2 linked regions of the Lytechinus pictus genome follow. The protein of the gene in region 1 purifies or fractionates together with the protein of each later gene. This does not show direct contact. Links are inferred from orthologs where the notes say so. Each region holds a gene or a part of one and is shown on either strand. Other genes may lie near its edges.

Region 1 (7,618 bases):
TTGTGAAATTAATCTCTTCTTCACATTGAAATGATGCAAAGATGAAAATCCATATTTTATTGTTCAAAATAGACATGAAACGAAATACTCAAAAAATTTAACTACAGTGATATGTGAGAAGTGAGAATTTTTTTTTTTTTAATTCAAAGGCCCGTATTCTGAACTCAGGTTTAAATTAAGCCCTGGTTTAAAGTTGTGGTTTAACTATGAAGAGCCAATTGGGGCACAAATCCCAAACAGTATACATCCAATTTATTAACTAATTTGACACTCAAATTGTTCATAACTGTCTGGGAATGATAACTGAAGTATTTTTCTTCATTATGAAAGCAACAGGAAACAAAATAGTAAACGTAAGAGATATCTAGTATAAACAGAATTTTTGAATTTTTGGCTCCCCATAATTTTAGCACAGAGTTAGACCGTGGTCTAAGTTAAAGACTTCAGAATACGGGCCAGAGTGTCTGATAAACTCTGCGAGAACTGAATAACTTGTCAATTTCGAAGTGTAATACTTTGAAACTGTCTGGCCCAGTCTTACAAAGAGTTACGATTGATTGGATCATCAGTGTCATATTTTTTTCTATAGGAAATTTGCAAAATGTTCTTTGTAAACAAAGGAGAACACACCAAATTGGCAAGAAATCAATGAATTTATGGATACATTCATATCTAGAAAAAGTTTTGAGCAAACATGCATTTTATATGTTGCCTTTGCTGGCTTTCCATAGTTGCGATTGATCAGATCAATCGCAACTCTCTATAAGACGGGGCCCAGGGGCCCGTCTTACAGATATGAATGTACATCCATAAATTCATTGATTTCTTGATAATTTGGTGTGTTCTCCTTTGTTTACAGAGGACATTTTGCAAATTTCCTGGAGAAAAATTATGACACTGATGGATTTCCATATTTACGATTGATTGGATCAATCGTAACTCTTTGTAAGATGGGGCCTAGGACTGTTTCATGCTGGAATTGTCCCAAGTCTTTCTTACCATAAGGAAAAAATCCTGGCAGCTGGTAGCATTCTCTGAAGAAGGCATTCCTTCCTAAACGAGGGGGAAGAGGTTCATAACCCAGCTGCAAAAAAAAAAATTATTATCAGTAGGATAAATAGGGCTTACCCTATCTATTTGCGATAAAACTTGCAATTTTTAAAATCATCTTAAAATCTTAAATCTCATTCAGATGCATATCCTCTGATATGCGTCTCGTAGCTTGGTGAAGATCAAAAAGAACAAGATGGCGAAGTAAACATCGCGGCAACTTTTCCATCTTTTCATAGTATTTTTCTCAGGCAAGTGTTGGTCCTGAAAAGGACCACCCAATCTGGGTGGTCCTTTTCAGGACCAACACTTGCCCAAGAAAGATACATGGTGTACCGTGAAACCTACTACACTAACGTTATTCTTCTTTGCCATGGAATGTTGTTGTTGTTGTTGTTCGTCGTTTCCACACCCATGGAAACCTTCAAAAGTTACAATATTTTTCTTGTTTTTTTTCAATAAATTCTTGCTTTAAAATGAAATAAATATTGTATAAATGGTGGAAATTAAGTTGTATCCCATTTACACAATTAAAGAGAGAGGAAGTGTTTTGTGCTCTTATAACTCTATTTTTTCAACAATGCAGCAACTAGACAGGAATAACCGTCGTTTCTGGGGATTTATTCAACAATTTCTGACATTTTACTGTAATCCCCATTTACCGACGGTAGGGTGTACGGTACGTGTGGGCTCGCATGTGTTCTCATTCCCTCCCTTTTGTCAATTCACAGTCCAAAGTTTGATGTAATTTTACACATCGAATTTACAATCTAAGGATGTATAAACAACAAACTTTTAATTCATGATATTCCAACATTTGAATACTTTAAACGATATAGATGAAAAAGGCATGAAAAATATACTTTACCGATGTTTAATTGGGTTGAACACGATAAAAATGGTCAAAATGGCAGCCAAACTATAAAATATTTACAAACGAACGTCAACAATCACGAATGTGATATCGATATTGCTTTCGATATTATACGATCTGCTCCATATGTGAACGAAACCGAAGATAAACGATACTAGTTATACTAGTACTAGTTCTAGTTATAATCGCGATATATCGATTCGAGACATTAAGTTAATAACGATAATGACGTCATTCAAGATGGCAACTTGCAAGAAAAACCGTCAGGTCAGGTGAAAATGTCTTAGATGACAGATTTCTCAATCATCCAGAGGATTTTTTTCAATAACTCCGGCCCAAGGTATGCAATTACTTAATTTATTTATATTTCCCTGATAATGGAAACCATGAAACTTTCAATTTTGCTTAAAAAACAGTTATAAATCGCGATCTATAAAACGCTAGTTCACTATACGTTGGCTGTAGAGTGTAGGTACGGGGCCCCATCCCCTTCAGTCTATGTATGGTGAGTGGAGCCAACGTAGTTCAGCGGAACAACCAAAATACAGAGACTGAAGCTTTTGGTCTATGCAGCAACCAACTGTAGATCTCCGGGATCAGCCAAGTGCCCCTGCCTCGCATGCCATTGGCCCTGCCATGCCCCTGGCCTGGATATTCATGTATTTTGCTCCTACTATCCTATTCCTAATCCTATTTTGATAAGATTTATTTTGGGCACACTTACTCTTTAGAATGTAACAACAATACAAATCAACCCTTGTGGAATATTTAAATGACTTCATGATTAGATGCAATGATAAACTTAAAGTTATAAATTAATTTTTTTGCGCAACCGGCGCAACCAAGGCATGAGAACCCCCTTCATACACTAAGGATCTCGCCTAGTGCAGCGGGGAGATGAACACTCGGCCCGCTAAAAATAGCAGCACTGCTCGGGCTCCGCACGGATTACGCGATGTACTCATTAGTCACTGGAAATAAGCCACTTGTCTTACCTGAATCAACGTTTTCACATATCCCATAGGGTGGCTAAATGCTCCAAGACCAATATTGGCCACGATTTGCATCCATGGATCATTTACAGCTGCCATTTTCTATCTCTTTCTGAATTATTAACGACCAAAAACAGCGGACTTTAACTTTTTTTGCGATTCCGAAACAACTCGCCCATAGAATTACCGGGTAAGGACAGATGAATTTCGAAACTCGCCCTATGCAGTTTTCAGGTTGTAAAATTTGCCATGATTCAGTTTTCTCTCCTTATCAGCTCTTTCGGGAACTCTTTCTTCTTTTTAAGTCTTGTTTTTGCACAAAATATTCTTGATCGGGACTTCTGGCTTAGTTTTTTTTTCCTTTAACTGGATGTGATCTGTTACTTTTGAGATTTGGGGTTTTCAAGTTTTTTCAGTCAAGCTGGAATTATGCTATTTCTCTAATCTTTTAAGAACTCCTTTAAAAAAAGACATGAAAATTCACAAAAATCGGCCCGTTGACACCATGATAGGTAAGCCTATCATGATCATTCAATTTCAAATCCCTCTCTCTCTCTCTCTCCCTCGTCTATCAAACTAGCTAACAATAATGATAATAATAGCGAATATCACATACAAAATAAAAATTATGTCTCTATGCGCTTCAAAAATAAAAGAGAGAAAGAGGTGTGTTAGTAAGTTCACTTTGTTGAGTTTAGGTACAATAGGGCAGATCAGTCTCTATTCCTATAATGTTCCCAGTCTCTCTACCAGGAGCCGGGGGGGGGGGGAGTTGGGGCCGCTTGCCTGGCCAAAAATTTTCACGACAAAGAATGGGTATGATATGATATTTTTGTTGTTAATTGTCACATAGTGTCATAGTGAGTAGGCATAAAAAGCATGACCCCACTAGTATTCTTTTTCATTTTACAAACCTTTTTAATTTACGATTTGAATTTCATTGATCAAAAATATACTTTAACTATTTAATGCAGGGAACCCATACTAAAGCTTTGCTTTCCAGTGGGTTCCCTTTTTTTCATTTCTGTATATTATATTTTTGTGTTTTGCTTTAGATTGTAACTTTTGTTGAATTATGGAATGAAAAAGAATAAATGCAATCAATCAAAGAAAAAAGAGCAAAGGGAAGACAAGGAAAGAGAAAAGGGTGAAATACTATTTTCTGATTATTACTATGTCATTGGATATAAGTTTTGTAATAAAATGAATTTGCTCGCTTCGCTTGTTCGCAACTTTAATTTGGCCCGATATGCCATATCTTGCCCCCTCGAAATTTCTGGCTCATTTATACGCCCCTGTCTCTTTCCTATACAGGCCTGCATGGTCCCTGGTCATGGCCTATATGCGATGTGGACCCCTTTTCGACAACTTGTGTACCGAGTTTTAGGGAGGAGTCTACCGAGTTGGACGTGGATCAACCAGTGTCTTGGCCGAATGTGTAGAATGCCAATTATCCATTTTAGGTCATCTCTTTTTCATCATCATATTTCATCATCATTATCCAGAAGAATTTTTTTAATACAAGCACATGAATGGAATACTAAGTAACCACGGAACCATGCTCCATGTTCACGGACCACCCCCCCCCCCACGCTCACACACCCACACCCTCGGTTGTGCACAACCATAAAAAAAAGTGTTATTGTTTTTTTTTATTTTTTTTAATCCTTCTTTTTATTTTCCCCTCCGTTTTGTCAATCCTGATGAGGAGGCATATGTTTTTGATTAATTTTCCTCCCTAACCTACCGTTTCGAGGGGGGCGGAGCCAGCTACTCAGCAAGCAGGAAAAATTCCATCCACAGTTTTCCCCGATCGGTTGCTTGAAGAGCTAAAAGTTGCTTTTAGCTGGGTAGGGGTAATATTAAGTACATTTTCTTAGCTTTATTTTGAAAATCGAAGGAGGACAATCTCCCCATTAAAAAAATTCGAGGGACGCCCCTTCCCCCACGGGGCTGCCGCCCACTGTTGGTGTGGTGGACCCAGGGGGGGGGGGGGGACATCCGGCTCGTGCCCCCCCCCCCCTTTTGAGAGTCATAATCAAAATGTTTAATGTAGATATGTCATTTTTACCCAAGTGTGCCCCCCCCCCGGCTCTTTTGAAAGCGAGGACATTTCTTTTACTTTATCTTTTTTTGTTGGTTCTCAAATTTTTTGCTGACGAAATGACCTTAAATTTTAGGTAAAAACCCCCTTTTTTTTTCTTTTTTACTTGTCAAATTTTCATCGGGACTCGAATTGTGCCCCCCCCCCCTGGAAAATCCTGGATCCGCCCGTGTGCCGCCCATAAGTAAACACCATCCTATCCATAATAACAGCCGAAAGAAACCATATTGTGGGGGGGGGGGGACTCAGCATAATGCAAAAAAAAGTGTTGAAATTAAATGTTCATTTTCAGAGCATCTGTCTGCGTTGTCGACGATTGCTCTTTAAATAAGTGCATTTTTTGTAGTTTACTTAATTTCTATACCTTGTACTTACAATATTTTACGTTTGTCTAAGCTTTGTAATATCCGATCTATTATAAAGTTGTCACATTGTAATGTATTTCATTATGTTCGTGTGTTGTATATTTATTTTGATTATACAATAATTAATGCAGAAACTCCAGAAAAAAAATTGTGCCATTTTTCGGCATTTAGGGTATTTTACTAAATCAAACATTCTGTCTTAAGATTGTACAATATTTACGTCACTTAGAGTGGAGGGGGGGAGTAAGAGAGGGGAAGAGAGGAGCAGCGACATAGGAAAGAAAAAGGTAAATTGTCAATTCGTCTACTGTCAACTCGTCCACTCACCACATGGTCTACCTTCATTTAGTCTAATGCCAGTCCGTCCATCAACATTTCTTCTAACAACCTTTTGGTCCAATAATCATTTTTTTGGTCCAATCATCACTTCGTCTAATCACAAGTTGGTCTATGACCATTTCGTCTCATAACCATTTGGTCCAATCCTCGTTTTATTTTAATTTATTTTGCCCTATTAACACTTAGTCTAATTAGACCAAATGGTATGGACTGAATGGCTATTAGACCAACTGGTTATGAGACAAAATGGTGAGTGGACGAAATGGATCATGTGGATATTGGACGAACTGATGGTAGACCAAATTAATAATAGTAGACGAGTTGGCAAATGAACGAATTGGCACTGGACAAAATGAAAATAAACCGAAATAAAATGGGACATGGACATGATGGAGATAATTATAGGCCTATGCCTAAAGGAACTCGGTATAATGGAAAGGGGGTTATACAGTGCGTCCCAGAAAAAACGAAACCGAGATTAAGCGATGATTTATCATAACTTAATCACAAATACAATAGACAAATGACCTACCAATGTAAAGCTTAGAATCTCCTCTTTCATCTGATATTACTTAGATTTTCCCCCATTCACGCATGAGTGAGCAAAAACAATTTGAAGAAAGGATAACAAAAACTCATTTGGCGGGGGGTATCTGAATTTCAAAAAGAAAATCACATGCCTAAAAAGTTCAATATCTGCTCTTTATTTGATAGCTTGATCACAAAAAATGGTCAAGAAGTAAAAAAGTTATGTTCCCTCGAAACAATGCTTGTATTTCCATAATTTCATTAAATAAACGTGTTTTCACCGGTTTCCCACAGAAGCAATCGGATGGTTAACAAAAGACTTAATGCATGGCTGATCGTCAACAAAACGGACTGTCAAGTGAGTTTGAACGCTAGCCTGTAGAACCTCTTAATTTTATGAAATTATTGAAATTCAAGCCTTATTTCAAATAACCAGAACTTTTTTATTTCTTAACCATTTTCTGTAATTGAGGTATCAAATTAAAGAGCAGATATTGAACTTTATAAAAATTTGGTTTTCTTTTTGAAACCCAGATACAGCCCGCCAAATGACTTTTTGGTATCCCTTCTTCAAATTGTTTTTGCTCAGTCATGCGTGAATGAGAAATAATCTAAGGAATTTCAGATGAAAGAGGAGATTCTAAGCTTTACAATGGTAGGTCATTTGTCTATTGTATTTGTGATTAAGTTATGATAAATCATCGATAAATCTCGGTTTCGTTTTTTGTGGGACGCACTGTATTGATAATTCGGGAAGGGAATCGATGATACAGAACCACCAACATGCCTAAAGTGATTATAATTCATTTCCTCGAATGTAAATCATTCCTTAAAACCTGTTTCCTCGACTTATAACTACAACTTGTAAAACTTGTAACTCGTTCCCTCGACTTACATAACTCGTTCCCGGCTTATATCAATCCCTCGACTTAAATAATTCGTTCAATTGACTTTCATAGCTCATTACCTCAACTTATAAAAAGTCTTTCCTTCGACTTATATATCTCATTCACACGGCTTATAGCCAATGCCCTCAGATTTATATAACTCTTGCCCTCAACTAACATACCTCGTTGCCTCGACTCATATTAACTCGTTCCCTCGTCTTACATGTCTCATAACTCATTTCCTCAACTTATATAATTCCATCGACTTATATAATTTGTTCAATCGACTTACATGGTGCCTCGACTTATAATAACTCGTTCCCTCGACTTATTATAACTAAATAGTATATCACGACTTAATACCTCCACGCGGGGACAAGTTACAATTCGTGGTAACGAGTTAAGAAAAAAAACATGTTACCTTAGTGGCTCCGTATAAAATGGAGAGTGAGAAGGGATTGATATAACTTAAGAACCCC
Region 2 (7,818 bases), on another chromosome or scaffold:
GGAGCGAACCCCCTCCCCAAAGCCCCTCCCCTTAATTGGCGGTGCAAAAAGGGGGTAGGGCCTATAATTATAGGCCCTGTCATAGAGAAAAAATGTATTTTTCATCTTTGTGGGGATGGGGGTACAATCACCTTTGCAGGTACTTTCATAATATTGCTACCCCCTTCTCTAGTTATGTTTTTAATGCTGTTTAGTGACCGTTACATTACAACTAAGCATTACAACGTAATGAGTCCCCTAAATTATTGGGGAGGGGGCAATGTGATGTATGCAAAATTTCAAAACTAGTCTCGAGAAAGCAAAGCGAGTGAGAAAAAATATGCCCCTATAGGCCTACCTATTTTCAATTCGAAAAGCTAATTTTGTGATAAATTTTTACAATATATTATTTTTATAGAGTATAATTTTCTTTCTCTTCTATCTTGGTTGTGGAACTTTTTTCTGAGAAGGCATGGCCCCAAGTCCCCATGCATCTATACGCCAGTGATCAATACTTTTGATCACGTCTAAGAACAGAACTTGCTACGATTTCAATTCTTTTCTTTTCATGTACCTGTTTCATAATCAAGAATGCGCGTTTGAAAGTTTCTTTCTTCACCCTATAAAATTCCCAAGCGAGCGAGAGAAAAAAATCACCTTTTCATTAGAACCTTACTTTTCCTTTCATATTCTTTTTCTCCTTTCTTTTTTTTGGGTTCTTATTGGACCGTAGAACTTACACCAGTGCTATGTGGATGGGGTTTGAGGCCGGGGGGGGGGGGGATACCACTGAACTGGAAATATTTCGTATTTCCAGTTCAGTGGGTGGTACTTGGATTATGATTGGACGGGAGTGTGAGGCTCGGGGCTTGAAACCCCTACCCGTAAGGGTCATTTGACCGTAAACAGGTTGCATGTCTAAGGACTTTTTCTCAGAATACAGACCCATGCCTAAGCATTTTTTTTTAATATAGACAAAATTTCCAAATTAATTCTGCCTTTTTTTAACCGTGAGACCATCGCATTAAAAATAAAAACACATTATGAAGTCTGATGTGACGTATTTCCGGGGACTTTTCCCGGGGATTCTCATAAATATTTTTTATCAGAAAAGAATTATTCAGTTGAAAAATAGAACCCATGGCTAAGGAGTTCCTGCAATAGCAAGACCCATGTCTAAGATTATTTTTTTTGCATAAAACGACCCACTGGAGCGGCACATCTCCGTATGCGATATACACGCAAGTACCCCCCCCCTCCCCCGGGGTTTATTATTAACAAGGGTTTGAGGGGCGGAGCCCCCGTCACCTTTCGACGTTCAGCCATTTTAAACCTTAAAGATGGTCGCTATTTTTGATAAAATCGCTTGCATATGTTTTATCCAACACTACACGCAGTAAACATTTTGAGGGGCACCACATGACAAATGTTGGAAATTTCAAAAACGTCGCGAACGAGAAAATTTTTGGCCTTTGAAATTCTTATTATGTTACTTAAAGGAGCATATCTAGCCATTGGCTAAGGGTATATGAAAAATGAATACATATGCATATTATGCATACATATACAGTGCGTCCCAAAAAAAACTATACACTTTTGAAATGGCTGCCAAATTAAAAAAAAAAATATCACTTTGGGGGGAAAGACTTATATAATTATATAGAAAGGCAATAAAGTAAACTTTCAAATGACACCAAAAAGTAGGAAAACTATTCATACTTGAGCGAGCGCTGCCCATTGAAACAAAGAGTATGAAAATTAAGCTGGGTCGGAATTAGCCTTCCAATTTCTTTCAGGTTTTTTTTTTGGAACTTGCAAAGTTGAGGGTTTTGTGATGAATTAATGATCAATTGTGATCAGTTTGTTGTTTGAGAGAATTTCATGATTTATTAAATTGAAATTTAATGCATGAGTGATCATGAATTGCAATTTTTAGTGCAGCATTTTTATTTATCATGTGCATGGATCGCAGCAATGTGTTCATGAGAGTCGGGAGAATAGGGGATAAGATAGGACTTAAGTAGGTAAAGTACGTTGATGGGATAAAGGTCAACAGAACATTTAGCAACCCCTCCCTCCATCTCTACCCCCTCCCCCGCTTCTCCCCCCCCCCCCCCCCTGAGAGACTATATAAGCTTAGCTGGGCAGGAATTAGCCTTACAGTTTTTTGAGAGGTTAGTTCTTTGGAACAAAGCTAAGGGCGTTATGCTAAATTAATGAGTGAGATAAGTTATGGTTTCTTAGGAAAATTTCACGAGTGACTAAATTGAAATTTAGTGCATGAGTGAACAGGAATTGTATTTTAGTGTAGCATATTCATCTTGTTGACCTCACCAGTGTGTTCGTGAGAGTCAGGGTAATGTGATGGTATACCCGTTATACAAGCAAGAGGTATGGTAGACTTCGTTAAATGGTAATTTCTCTTCTTTGTGTCCTTTTACAAATTAAAAGTCATAATTATGTATCCCCCTCCGCCTCCATTTTCCTGGCTCCTTCTCTCTCTCTCTCTCTCTCTCTCTCTCTCTCTCACTTCCTGGATTGTAGCCTATTAAAAAAAAATGAATGTTTGATTGATCACACTGCACATTGAATGAGTTTATTTATTGATAAATTGTTGATTAAATGATTGATAGGAATAAGTTGATGCCCCAATTCAGAATCTGGACTTCACGTGTACATGACAATAGCAATCAGTCTCTCAACAGGAGGGGAGGGCGGGAGAGAGGGGGAGGGGGCTACATGTTCTGTTGACCCTTATTCCGTCAACCTACTTCTCCCACTTAACTCCTATCTCACCCCCTATTCTCCCGACTACATTGCTGAGATCCACATGATAAAGTTGAAATGCTGCCCCAAAAAGTGTAATTGTGTTCACTCATGCATTAAAATTAAATTTGATAATTTATGAAATTTGCTTAAACAACCAAAACTGGTCACGGTTGGTCATTAATTTATCACAACACCCTTAAACTTTACAAGTTCCAAGGGATTTGCCTCTCAAAAACTGACAGAAATTGGAAGGCTAATTCCAGCCCAGCCTACTAATTTTCATACCCTTTGTTTCAGTTGGCAGTGCTCGCTCAAGCATGAATAGTTTTTCCAATTTTTGGGTGTCATTTGAAAGTTGACTTTATTTGCTTCCATAATGTGTAAGTGCTTTTCCCAAAAGTGATATATTTTTTTTATCAAAGCTGGAGGCCCGGGTTCGATTCCCGGCAGAGACATTTTTCGGCATCACCAATTTTTCCAAAGGGCAGCTCTGGGGAACCTTGATATGAAGCTACGCCTACCATTGTTCTCTTCATTCATTTCTTTCACAACATATTTGAATACAAATAGTTGCCAAAGCAGTTGTACATGTATAATGTCTCACATTTATATATATATATATAGGAAATGAAACCCAAGATAGCTTGTGCAAACTTTTTACAGAAAAATCAAACTCAGATAAACAAAAGTTTGAGAAAATTGAATGAAAAATAAGAAAGTTATGAGCATTTGAAAATAAGATCATTATTGTAATGTATAGATCCTCCCATTGGTAATGCGACAAAGATGTGTGATGCAATGTGAACAACTTTCCCATTACTATTAGTTTATATACCTCTATGATTTCACTTTAACTCTTTTATCACATCTATCAGTAGATCACACATTTTTCTAGAGGGAGGCATGTGTAGATTCTCAAATAATAGATTATGGATAAAAAGTTTGAATCACCCTAAGAAAAAGCAAAAATAGAGTTTCTGGGTATTTTATAGTCCATCAAAGGGAAAGTTGTTCACATGTGACGTCACAAATATTTGTCGTTTTGCCAATTGGAGGATCTCAATAGCATTAGTGATTACAATATTTAAATGCTCATAACTTTCTCAATATTTGTCCGATTTTTCTCAAACTTGCTTTCTTTGATTTTTTGTTTTCACAGAAGCCAACCTGTATCAAAGGTAATAGCAACACTATAACAGAAACTATCTATACCGAAATACGTTATTCCATTCTTTATTGCCGCTAATCCTCGGCAGCTCGTATGTTAGTCTTATATTCTTCTCTAATGTTTCTTTTTTTTTCTAATTCAGGTTTTCCCTCTATTAGTTCATTACATTCTACCTTCATTTCCGTTTTCCTCGTTAATTTCCCTTTCCCGTCATGAATTTCCGTTTCATTTTGTTATCTTTAGCTATTTATTTCCCTTTTCTCATTCATTTATTAGTATTTTGGGATGATTTTTTTCTTTCTCTGTATTCTTCTTTCATTCCGTTGAAACTTTCTTCCCTCTTTTTCTTCCTTTTTCCCATTATTTTTTCTTTCTTTCTTTATTTTGTTCTCCCTTTTCGGTTTTCCCGGTGATCCGCGGGTGGGGGGGGGGGGGGGGGGAGCCTGCCCCCTGCCCTCCCCCGCCTGTTACTCCATATTGTATCTATTTTCACGAACAGAAAAGAGATTTTAAAAACATGTGAATGTTTGCCATCAGTCGACTTATGAGGTGAAAAAAATAAGTGGCCAAAGAAAACATTGCATACGGGGAAATTTACGAAAAGTCGCCATATATGGTGCGAACCGGTGCGAAGCAATAAGCAAGCAAAAATTTTTGACCCCGCATTAGTTAGTCTGACATTATATTCAGAATATATTATGGTACAATATAATACTTCACACATTTGTTTTCCTTTTCTGCTCCTTCTCCCTTTTATTCTCAGTGGTGGAACTTTTGGAGGACCAGGGGCCTATAGGGTACAGTGCCCTAATAGTCCCGCTAATAGTACAGGCCTAACGTGTATTTATCGCCAGTGATCTAGATCTAGAATAATTTCTAGAAAAATTATACAACATACCGTACTTTGGATTTCACAGATACCGTATCGAAACTCGACTGTGTCTTGAAAAGTCGATTTCGATATGGATTAGTTAGGTGTTTTTCAGATGATCTAAGGACGATAAATAGGTAATTATCCAATGGGCAGAGAAAGAAATATCTTGGCATTAGAATGGGGAAAAACTATCGTAAATTCAAGAATGTGAGGGATGATCCCGGCGCGAGTTACCGTAGCGTAGGCGGTGCGGTACCATACCGGATCCATGGACCATTGCATTACCAGCGCGCGCGAGACTGAAGCTCTAAAGCTAAAGGGGATTTATCACGTTTCCGTGACTTTCCGTGACCTACTTTAAAGTTTGATTTGAACTTCAAAGAAAGTCTTTTTTAGTTTGATGACAGGACTAAAAATATTGTTCAAACAGAGCTGGAATTTGTGCAGTACCCTTGTATGTAAGGTTTGATCAGTTAGATTTTGGAAGTGGAACCCAGGGGCCCGTTTCTCAACACATGGACAAGTTAGTCATATCTTTATCCACCAACCACGGAGTTAGTTCCAATCTTACTAAACCTGTTTCTCGAAAGGTTTCCTAATTAGAATACCTTGATATCGATACTATCGGTAGAAAGTGCAGACGAGACGTAGCCTTAGTCACAAAATAGCATAATAGTCAAAAAGAAAAATTATGACAAAATTGCAAATGTTGTGATAAATTGGGAAATAAATCTTTTCAAAATAATAGCACAGGTGAATTATGCATCATACATACTTAGACCATGAAGACTTGAGCATTCAATTGCAGAGAAAATTAAATTATGAATAATTCATTTCATGACTAAAAAATCACTGGTGGACGTTGAGATTGGGTACCCCCGGGATATCCAATTTTAATAGTTTACGAAAGTAAACCATAACGGTTTTCTTTGTAAAATGATGATAATTATGCGGTCTTTTACGATTCCGAACGTCATCAAAATATAGTTCAACGAAACATTTTTAACCATTGATACCGAAACATACGATATTTGACAAATTATATGCATAAATTAGAGATATAATTTATCCAACTGTTAATAGGGGTCTGAAAACAACAAATACGAGTTCAGTTATGGATGGCCTGACGTGGTAGAATATTTATCGATTAAATCATTTTACTATTTCAAAATGAATGGTTTTGTGGCGTTTTACCAATAGTTTTTATAGTTTCTTTGTATTACAATTATCATTGAATGCATTAACCCACTTGTTTTATGATGTAATTTCAACCTCTATGATTTATTACGTAAGATTATAATTTTAAAATTTCTATGCGCTTTTGCATGTCATAGTCTACCCACGTGATGCCACTACGTCATTAAGAAAGAAGTTATGACAGGTTCGGAGCTGTCATAAATATTTAGTGAGGTTGTTGTACCCGATCTTGGTAAAGAGGGCTTCGTGAAACGGTTAGCGGACAAGTAGCTCACTATCTCCGATTTAGTCAAGAAGTTAGACTTATGACGGTGTTGAGAAACGGGCCCCAGTTTATCATTTTTTTAAAAGAAAGTTCAGAACAAAAAAATATTGCAGAAAATCTTGGCAATGTCAACTCTTTGCTTAAAGGAGAATGAAACTCTTGGAGCAAGTTAGCTTTTGTGAAAGCAGAAAAATCAAAGAATAAGATCAACAAAATTTTGAGTAAAATAGGACTAGCAATAGAAGACTGAGAGTTATGAGCATTTGAATGTCGAGATCACTAATGCTATGGACTAAATGGAGATCCTCCTATTGGCAATGCGACCAAGATCTATGATGTCACAGATGAACAACTCTCCCCTTTTGGACACTGAAAATATACCCCAAAACATCTCTTTTTGTTCATTCTAATCATATGACAAACGATTCATCAATGATATAATGTTGTGAAACCTCTGTACTTGTCCTCTCATAAAGAGAACATCTCACCTTGTGATAGACTCTATAAAAGTGAAAATATAAGTGAAATAAGTACTAAAGTAATGAGGGAGTTGTATGTGTGTGACATCACAGATCTCGGTCGCATTGCCAATGGGAGGATCTACATGGCATTAGTGATCTCAATATTCAAATGCTCGTAACTTTCTTATTATTCATTCAATCTTCCTCCAACTTTCAACAATATGTTTCTTTGATTTTTCTCTTTGATATGGATTCAGCTGGTTTCAAGTGTTTCATTCTCCTTTAACCTCTTCCTGTCCTACAAAATATCTTTTGAATTTCACACTTTTTAATTTTCATTGAAAGAAAATTATCATTACTTAAGGGGTACGATCTATGATGCAACCTCACACCGTAGACTTAGTGTGACGTGAGTCTGACTGAGTGTGTACATGTAGATCTCAACTTCAGAGTTATTATCTTAATAATTGGTGAAAGTTTCTTTTTATTCTGCCTTTCAGATTAAACCATGGCAAAATATTCAGACAACACACCTGAGAATCCATCTCCTGTCGATGCAACCATTCAACAACAGATGAAGGAAGGTCGCTACCAGTTCACAGACGAGGAAAAGCGGGCTTTGCGAGAATGTCGATTTGAGAGTTTTTGGTACAGTTCCTTTCCTATTGCTGCTGTGTCTGGACTGTCAACACACATGCTTGTGCAGAGAGGAGTCCTGAACCCTAGCAAACGCTTTGGTTCCATCCCAAAGGCGGTGTTTGCCACTATGTGTGGCTACATCTTTGGCAAGATGCTCTATGTTCAGAAGTGCCGTGAGAAGTTCCTGAAGCTTGAAAACTCCCCCTTTGCAGAGATGATGAGGAGGGGTAGAGGGGGCATGCCACCTGCTGAGTTTGGCGGGATGAGTATACCTGGGTATGGAACTGGAAGCAACCCACCTGTAGAGGAAGAACTTTCTGTCGATGATAACTTCCGACCAGACACACCTTGGAGTGGAGGACACGACCAGAGATTGAACATGGATATAGATACCAGTCAAGTCAAGGGAATAAACAGCTTCGATTCTGACCTCGCTAAGCATCACGAGGATGAGAGGGCAGCTTCA

The links. Proteins that work in one complex are often made in the same cells at the same time.
Region 2: the proteins of mitochondrial carrier homolog 2-like (region 1) and OCIA domain-containing protein 1-like purify together in Homo sapiens (affinity purification with mass spectrometry; 3 studies listed by BioGRID and IntAct, with this or other methods). This does not show direct contact. The link is inferred for Lytechinus pictus from reciprocal best matches to the Homo sapiens genes MTCH2 and OCIAD1.

Annotation. Positions count from the first base shown.
Region 1 is NW_026974141.1:12,879,029-12,886,646, reverse strand, and holds the start of mitochondrial carrier homolog 2-like, read right to left. Parts: upstream 3,102-7,618; 5' UTR 3,016-3,101; coding exon 2,920-3,015; intron 1,085-2,919; coding exon 1,000-1,084; intron 1-999. UniProt on the Homo sapiens protein: Protein insertase that mediates insertion of transmembrane proteins into the mitochondrial outer membrane. Catalyzes insertion of proteins with alpha-helical transmembrane regions, such as signal-anchored, tail-anchored and multi-pass membrane proteins.
Region 2 is NC_087259.1:24,749,813-24,757,630, reverse strand, and holds the start of OCIA domain-containing protein 1-like, read left to right. Parts: upstream 1-4,746; 5' UTR 4,747-4,924; intron 4,925-7,213; 5' UTR 7,214-7,221; coding exon 7,222-7,818. UniProt on the Homo sapiens protein: Maintains stem cell potency. Increases STAT3 phosphorylation and controls ERK phosphorylation. May act as a scaffold, increasing STAT3 recruitment onto endosomes. Involved in integrin-mediated cancer cell adhesion and colony formation in ovarian cancer.